Neurospora crassa OR74A: one gene and its partner. Each later gene encodes a partner of the first gene's protein in a complex. Links are inferred from orthologs where the notes say so. Each region holds a gene or a part of one and is shown on either strand. Other genes may lie near its edges.

What was found.
Region 2: the proteins of NCU01515 (region 1) and NCU02605 are in contact, whole or in part, in a crystal structure (PDB 3K1F), measured with the Saccharomyces cerevisiae proteins. The link is inferred for Neurospora crassa OR74A from reciprocal best matches to the Saccharomyces cerevisiae genes RPB3 and RPB10. Residues at the interface, in NP_012243.3 of Saccharomyces cerevisiae: Asp16, Asn17, Val57, Leu58, Phe62, Arg66, Leu69, Ile70, Pro71, Thr110, Asn112, Tyr114, Gln135, Asp136, Glu138, Asn140, Gly141, Val142, Leu143, Ile144, Cys145, Lys146, Leu147, Arg148, Lys149, Gln151, Ala168, Lys169, Gly171, Ala174; in NP_014853.3 of Saccharomyces cerevisiae: Met1, Ile2, Val3, Pro4, Val5, Arg6, Cys10, Gly11, Lys12, Val13, Gly15, Asp16, Lys17, Glu19, Ser20, Lys42, Arg43, Ile57, Glu58, Phe60, Leu61, Arg62, Tyr63, Asn64, Pro65.

The regions. Positions count from the first base shown.
Region 1 is NC_026502.1:3,218,624-3,222,507, forward strand, and holds NCU01515 (DNA-directed RNA polymerase II polypeptide), read left to right. Parts: upstream 1-1,188; 5' UTR 1,189-1,428; coding exon 1,429-1,494; intron 1,495-1,567; coding exon 1,568-2,133; intron 2,134-2,213; coding exon 2,214-2,595; 3' UTR 2,596-3,317; downstream 3,318-3,884. Other genes in the region: NCU01516 (mitochondrial co-chaperone GrpE), read right to left, coding at 1-270, 350-622; NCU01514 (mitochondrial dicarboxylate carrier), read right to left, coding at 3,752-3,827. UniProt on the Saccharomyces cerevisiae protein: DNA-dependent RNA polymerase catalyzes the transcription of DNA into RNA using the four ribonucleoside triphosphates as substrates. Component of RNA polymerase II which synthesizes mRNA precursors and many functional non-coding RNAs.
Region 2 is NC_026501.1:2,876,062-2,879,366, forward strand, and holds NCU02605 (DNA-directed RNA polymerase I/II/III subunit 10), read left to right. Parts: upstream 1-1,455; 5' UTR 1,456-1,552; coding exon 1,553-1,588; intron 1,589-1,659; coding exon 1,660-1,721; intron 1,722-1,784; coding exon 1,785-1,871; intron 1,872-1,924; coding exon 1,925-1,994; 3' UTR 1,995-2,803; downstream 2,804-3,305. Other genes in the region: NCU02604 (hypothetical protein), read right to left, coding at 1-766, 817-1,178. UniProt on the Saccharomyces cerevisiae protein: DNA-dependent RNA polymerases catalyze the transcription of DNA into RNA using the four ribonucleoside triphosphates as substrates.

The DNA.
Region 1 (3,884 bases):
AAGACCGTGCTTCTTGAGGGTCGAAAGGAGGATGCTCTCGGTCATCTTGAGACCCTCGTAGAGGTTGACGAGGTCCTTGAGGTGCTCAGACTGCTCCTCCGACTTGAGCTTGTCCTGAGGAACCACGCTCAAGGCGCGCTCGAAGTTGTCGACGCTTTCAACGAGGTCCTTGGCGAACTTTTGAATGGCAAAGTCCTTGGCCTGCTTGACGTCGCGGGCGGTGCGCTCCTGGAGGTTGCGGAAGTCGGCGACGGTGCGAAGGCACTTGTCCTGTAGAGAGGGGCATCCCGTGTAAGTGACTTGTCCATCATGGCTGTATGTGCATATGCTTTGAAGCTCAAGAACCAACCTTCCACTCGCGGGCCTCGGCGTCCTTGGCCTCGAGCTGCTTCTTGAGGGCAGCAACTTCATCGGTCTCACCCTCCTTCTGCTCGGCGCCCTCGTCGGCCTTCTTCTCACCCTCAGCCTCGGCGCTGTACCACCGGGCGGCGGAGCGCAGCTGGGGAGCAGCTGTCCGGGCAGCTTGCATCTGGAAGATCTGGGAAGCAATAGGGCGCTGGGCGGCAACGCGGGCGCCGGAGCAGAGGGCTCTGGAAGAGCGGGTGAGGGCTGTTCGTAGCATGTTGGCTGGGTATCTGGATGTGACGGGTGGTGAGATGTGGCGATGTCAGAGACAGGGAAGCGTCGCGTGTTGAGAGAGGCACTTTCTCAGAAATTTTGAGACAGCTGCGCTAGCACGGGACGGAGACGGCATGGACGGGCGGCGGGTTGGGCGGCCAACAGGGGCCTTCGCAGTGTCTCCCACAGTGGGATGGTGGGAGGGTGGGTGCTGCTGCTGCATCAATCCTGTCGGCCGGCTGGGCGGGAGCGAACCGAAAAGCGGGTCATGAACGGACCGCCCAAAATCGACGAATTGCCTGCCGGACCATCGAGTTTTGCTCAAATCGACAATTGGAGCTTCGACACCTCAGCGCCCCGGGTGTGCCTGGCGGGGCTCTTTTGTGCGGGGGAGTCGAGATGGACCTGGCTGCTCCTACCTACTCTGTTAAAGACACGCCGTGGAGTTAGCCAACGCCAGGTCATGTGAAGATAAGGCCAGCTTAATCCTGGTCACTTTGTCTGCCCGCTGCGGCCTCAGCCAGAGGCAAGATTGGCGACTGGCCGCACTCAGTCCTACCATAGGTGGTGGCGCCTCCGAACCTCGACCCGTCAACGCGCCGGAAACCGAAATCAGTCCGCAACTTGCATTTCGCATCAACCGGCCCTCAACAAAGGCCACCTCAACCGCAACTCACCCTGCCTCGAACCACAACTTCCTGAACCGTTTCTCCCCCCGCATCCAAATTTTATCATACACCACAAAACGTACCATCGAGAACTGCCGACTGTAGCGAGAACAACTGACCGACCGCCGGTCAACACGCAAAGATGGATTACGATCCGATGGTGATGGACGACGCCGAGTCCCTGGGACCGGTCGTCAAGATCTCACAAGTATGTTCTGTGTGCTCTTGCTCACAGCAATTGCGCTCAGCTGCTCGTTCATCGTTCTAAACCATCATTCTAGGCGGACAACACCCGAGTCAAGTTTGAGCTCTCCAACACCGAGCTCAGCTTCGCCAACTCCCTTCGTCGCGTCATGCTTGCCGAGATTCCCACGATTGCCATCGATCTAGTCGAGATCGAGGCCAACAGCTCCGTTTTGGCCGACGAATTCATTGCCCACCGCCTGGGCCTGATTCCACTCAACGCCGAAGGTATCGAGCAGCTTCTGTATTCTAGGGACTGCGACTGCGACGAATACTGCGAGCATTGCAGTGTGACCCTCAACCTTCACGCCAAGTGCACTGGCGACGACATCATGCAAGTCTGTGCCCGCGATCTTGTTCCAGTCGGCGATCGCGTCAACCAAGTTCTCGGCTCGCCTATCATCAATGATCCTGAAGGCCAAGGTCCCCTCATCCTCAAGCTTCGTCACGGTCAGGAGATCAAGCTCCAATGCATCGCGAAGAAGGGTATTGCAAAGGAGCATTCCAAATGGGCCCCAAGTGCCGCCATCGGCTTCGAGTACGATCCTCACAACAAGCTGCACCACCTCGACTTGTGGTATGAGCAGGATCCTAAGAAGGAGTGGTAAGTACATTCCATCATCTTCACTTTTTCCAATTCCCTTTGATGTGACCGATGTCTCACCATTTTGTTTTTCTCTCCAGGCCTCCTTCGGAGTACGCCGACTGGGAGGAGCCTCCCCAGGAGGGCGAACCGTTCGATTACGATGCCGTACCACAACGCTTCTACTACAACGTCGAAACCGCCGGTCCTATTCCCCCTGATGCTATTGTCACTGAAGGCATCAAGGTCATCCAGCAGAAGTTGGCTGGTCTGATCCACGAACTTACCGAAAGCGATGGTGGTGAGAACGGATACAACGGACCGCGCAGCCCAGGCTACAACGAAGGTGGCGACAACTGGAACGACCAAGGATCGTTTACGCCATATGGAAACGGAGGAAACCAGAGCTCTTGGGGAGGTCAGGGAGGTACCACGCCCTACGGAGCGACTCCCTACGGAGGCGGCCAAAACCCTTGGTCTTGAGCATCATATGCTTACAGTTTACGATTTGCGACGTCAATTACTCCTCCTGATGGCTTGCGAGGTCATTGCGCCTGTCTTTTCCGGGAGGTTTTGGGTATCTGCGGTATCTTTGCGGCGCGAGTTCGAGCTGCGCACTTCGATTAACAACACAACACTTTTACCATTCAAACAAGATTGAGATTCGCATTCCTATACACACACTCGCGCCATCACCACCAGCTCAGCATCTACTTAGTAATCGTGGCGCCTCCGTCTCTTACTGCGGGGACCGTAACTCAACCACACTTTGTGGCTGAGGCCCACGGAACGGATCAGGGCCAAATATCGGACTTTTGGCGCTAGGCACGAGCCGCCACGTCAAGGTCAATTTTGGGGGAAACTGGGAAAAGGAACTTTGGGAGCTGGATCTTGACATTAGGGGAGAGGAGAGAGGCGCATTCTGAAGGGATTCAAGTCAGGGCGAGAGGAACCAGAGCATATCTTATTTGAGCGTCCCTCGTCCAGACACCACATATACTAGGCAGCGGAACGAGGACAGCTCTCTCTGTTATTGGCACCCTGCAAATGATCTATCGCACAATTGCGAGGTATAGACAAAAGGTGAATATAGTTACCATGGTCTGGCGACTACATAGGGGACCAAAATACCCAAAAAAAACATTCATAAACGGTTCGAAAGTGCGAGGTTCATAAAAAATCAAGATGCCATTCTCGCCGGTTGCTGGAGTCTAGTAAGCACTTGCTGCTCTGGTCTATTTGCTTTACACAACTCTGCAGGAAACACCAAACTCCCAGGGTAAGACTACATAAAGCCAAAACACCATCGAAATGACAGCCCTACCGCCGCTTCAATGCCTGACGGATGAGGGAACATCTAACAAAGGAAACCTATGAACAAGAAAACATGAGGTATCGCCATCTAGGTCCTGACAGAAAGACCACCACTCGGCCTCTAAAATGCAGATTTCCTCTATACAAATCCGGCCATTATGTCCCCACCCACAAACTTTTTGATTGAAATGCATTTGAAAACCCGCTGTTGCTGCTGCTAGTCCGTCTAAGAAGCAGACTCCCAAGACTGGACATGGGAGGAAAGGTGAAGAAAGAAAGAGAGATTAGAAAAGGTAGGTAGCCAGGAAGAGGAGCAAATGACAACTCATTCCTCAATGCCCTTGACCTTCTTGTACATCTTCCGATGGCCCTCCAAGAAGATGAAGGTGCAAATCGTTTGTCTGTCCGCGTCAATACCTCGTTAGCACAATCATATCCATGAAACTTTCGCGGAAGAC
Region 2 (3,305 bases), on another chromosome or scaffold:
GGCCCTGCGGTGCCAATGTAGCTTGCGGGGCTGAATAGGACCCCCCTTGGTCGCGCTGCCGGGTAGTTTCGAGAGAAGGTCACCATAAACGTAGATGGCACCGCGAGCGCAACCGATGACGAGATCAACGAACTGGATTTCTGTGCCACCCTTCTTAGTTGTTTGGAGAGTCGGGCGAATGTCGAGGCAAGTAACCAAATCCGGCACGCCGAAAGAGTGGAACGCGTATTCGAGGTCATCAACCGCCTTGACGGTCTTTCCCTTGGACTTCAAAGTGCCGATGTGTAGCGTCTCCTTCGCGGCAGCAACAATGAGTCTGCCACCAGCAGCGGAACGAAGCAATTGCGGGTTCTCGTCGTATGTGTGGATAAGCTTGCCGGTCTTCTTACGGAGGGCCTTGAGGTCGTAGGCCACGATTTGCGCCGAGGACTTGGTCAACTTCTGGAGAATAAACAGGACATCTTCTTGCTTGTCGCGGATATCAACCGATTCGACGGTCATGTCGAGGACTTTCTTGACGTCAATCGTGAAGGGTGTTTCGGCGCCTTCACCTGTCGCCCAGTTAAGGTGCCAGATGCGGCCATCTGAGCATGCAACCCAGAGGAATTCGGGTGCGCTGGCGGATAGCGCAGACGCAACGATGTGGGGAGAAGAAAGTTCGGCGCCGCTGTCGAGCTTGGTGATGGGAAGGGAGATCCTCCTGACGAGCAGGGAATCCTCGGTGGAATAGACTTGAATTGATGTGTTGTAGGTGATAAGGAGGTATCTAAGTCGCATTAGTAGAGCCCCTGCCTGGGGGACTGGTCTCAAACGAACCGTTCATCCAAGGAAAATATGGGATCGATGTCGAGCATGCGGCCGCCCATAGGATTCGATACCTTCCATGCCGATGTGTTGCGCGTCGTCAAGGTATTCGAAGCATCCGTAAGTTCCAAATCGCCATTGGTCGTTTGCAAGTCTTTGTTCTCGAAAAGGGTGCTTTCTTGGGAGTCGGTAGTATCGTCAACATTGCCATTGGCGGCAGCAGGCTGGGTCTTTGGTTTCGATCGTTGCCTTTTTTGCGAAGCGGTCGTCTCTTCCTTGGGCTCTCTCTTTCTCTTCTTGAGCGAGGCAGTTTCACCATTCGCATCCATCTTGGGCGCCTTCGAGGTCTTGCGAGGAGTGCGTAGCTCCACCATCTTGTCCTTTGAGTATATGACGATGCAAGTCTGGCAAGGAACACACGATTTGTCGTACCGAGCTTCATGTCCGCCTCATCCTCCCAGCAGAAGAAATTTTGGCGGAGTACCCTTCGAAAAGTTAATGTGGGGCAGCTTTCTTATCGGTGATAAGGCTGAAGTGACCAATCAGACCCTAGAAAGTCAAATTTGCTGGGGCCTTCCGACCTCACAGGTAAAGTTGCCGCCTCGCCCTTCAAAGTTCATGCTGAAACTTGCACCGTCACTACGACCAATCTTGCACCACCATCTTGCCAGAAGCCGGTCGCTCATCTGCCGCGAACATCGCCATCCCGCCAAACACTTTTTTGTAGGCTTTCGACTCGCTAACAAAAATGATCATTCCAATCCGATGCTTTTCGTGCGGCAAGGTACGCGACGCGACGCGCCCCGCTTCCTCCGCCATTTACCCGTTAACAAGGTTACTGACTTTGGCACATAGGTGGTGGGTGATCTCTGGGAGAGATACCTGCAGCTGATCGATGGCGAGGAGATCACCGATGGGTATGCGACATCTACAAACGACTTTCGATTTACAAATAACAACAACTGACAGACGATGATTAGTGATGCTCTGGATCAGCTCGGCCTCAAGCGCTACTGCTGCCGTCGCATGGTCATGACCCACGTCGACCTCATCGAGAAGCTTCTCAAGTACGTTCTTGTGGACTCGCCGCGCTGGACCTTGGTGGCTGACTACGCTCTAGGTATACTCCCGATGGTCGCAACGTCAAGAAGATCGAGATGCAGACACGCAATGAGGAACAGGGGATGTAATATGCCCGAGCGGTCGAAGAATTCATCATCAACTATTCGGGAAAGCCGACCACTCTATCGTCCGGGAAGAGAAAACTGCATGATCATTAGGCGTTTGGGAGTATTAAGACAACTGTACCGGGCAGGGTATAGAAGCGGCCCTGGTCTCGCATCCAGGAGGCCGAAAGCAAGAGCTTGATTTGGTTGTGCTTTTCTTTGGGTTAGAACCTGTGGCGTCAAGGTGCATTTGGGACAACTGTTTCTGGTGTAAGTTCTGTTGGCGGTTAGGTCTACCGGAGCAACATGGCCAGACACAACAGGCTACCTTTTCGGTTTGCAACTACAGTTGAGAGGTTGTGGTACCACGGAGAGCCATTGTCTTTAGCCGGAACGTGGTACTTGCTCCGTGTGGCTAGATGTGTCATAACCAACCACATCTGGTTATCTACATTGGCGACTTACAAGCCGTCATGCTCGCCTGCGTGGTTTCCAACTCCTCGGGTTCGGATGTCTTTTGGGAATGGTGGAAAAGTCTACCGCTTCGGCTGGGCTGGACCGATCGAATACGAAGCGACGCTCGGATTGGATGGTCCTTACAATTTGTGGGGGCATCAAGCCAGTGCAAGGGATGATGGCGCTGGTGAACAAGAGACATTCGCAAAAGGTAGCACGGCCTTCTAAATCACACGTCTCAGTTTATAACATGGGTACAGACTGGGGTAGCCTACGCTATTCGCTCAGATGAGTATGCTGAACGTCATATCTTTCAAAAGTATTTCAAATTCAGCGCCCGGTCAACTCTCTCTTTATGAAGAATTATTCATCTGTGTAGCTTCCACATCCGAATTCCTGATAATTGGTTCACCCATGCCCGTGTCCAGTGACTCGAACTGTATGTATGTGGCAGCGAAGTGAGCGTTGGCCCTGTTCCTAGGCCCGGTTTGGACGCCACTCGGTCAGAGATGCTTTTGCGTTGCTCATCGGTAGCAAATATACTTCCGAAAAATGAGCTTTCGGATTGTCACAAACTTGAACGTTGTCTTTACCGATATGGACCTACCCTCCCACCAGCCGTAGACTTGCATCGCCGGTCAGTCTACGACTTACCTGTTCCCTCAACCATTCATGTCCGTACAAGTGATGGCACGTAAGTTCTCATTTCCAAGACGGTGTAGGAAAGAATGAAGTTCATACTCAAGTGATCTTACCATATCTGTGTAGTAGCCACTTTGCTTCAATATCTCTAGTCTCCTTTGGTTCGTCTCCCCATCCAGTCTTCCATATCTTTTAGCTGATCACCGCCGGATCAGTGTCGTTGGGTCTCGAATCCAT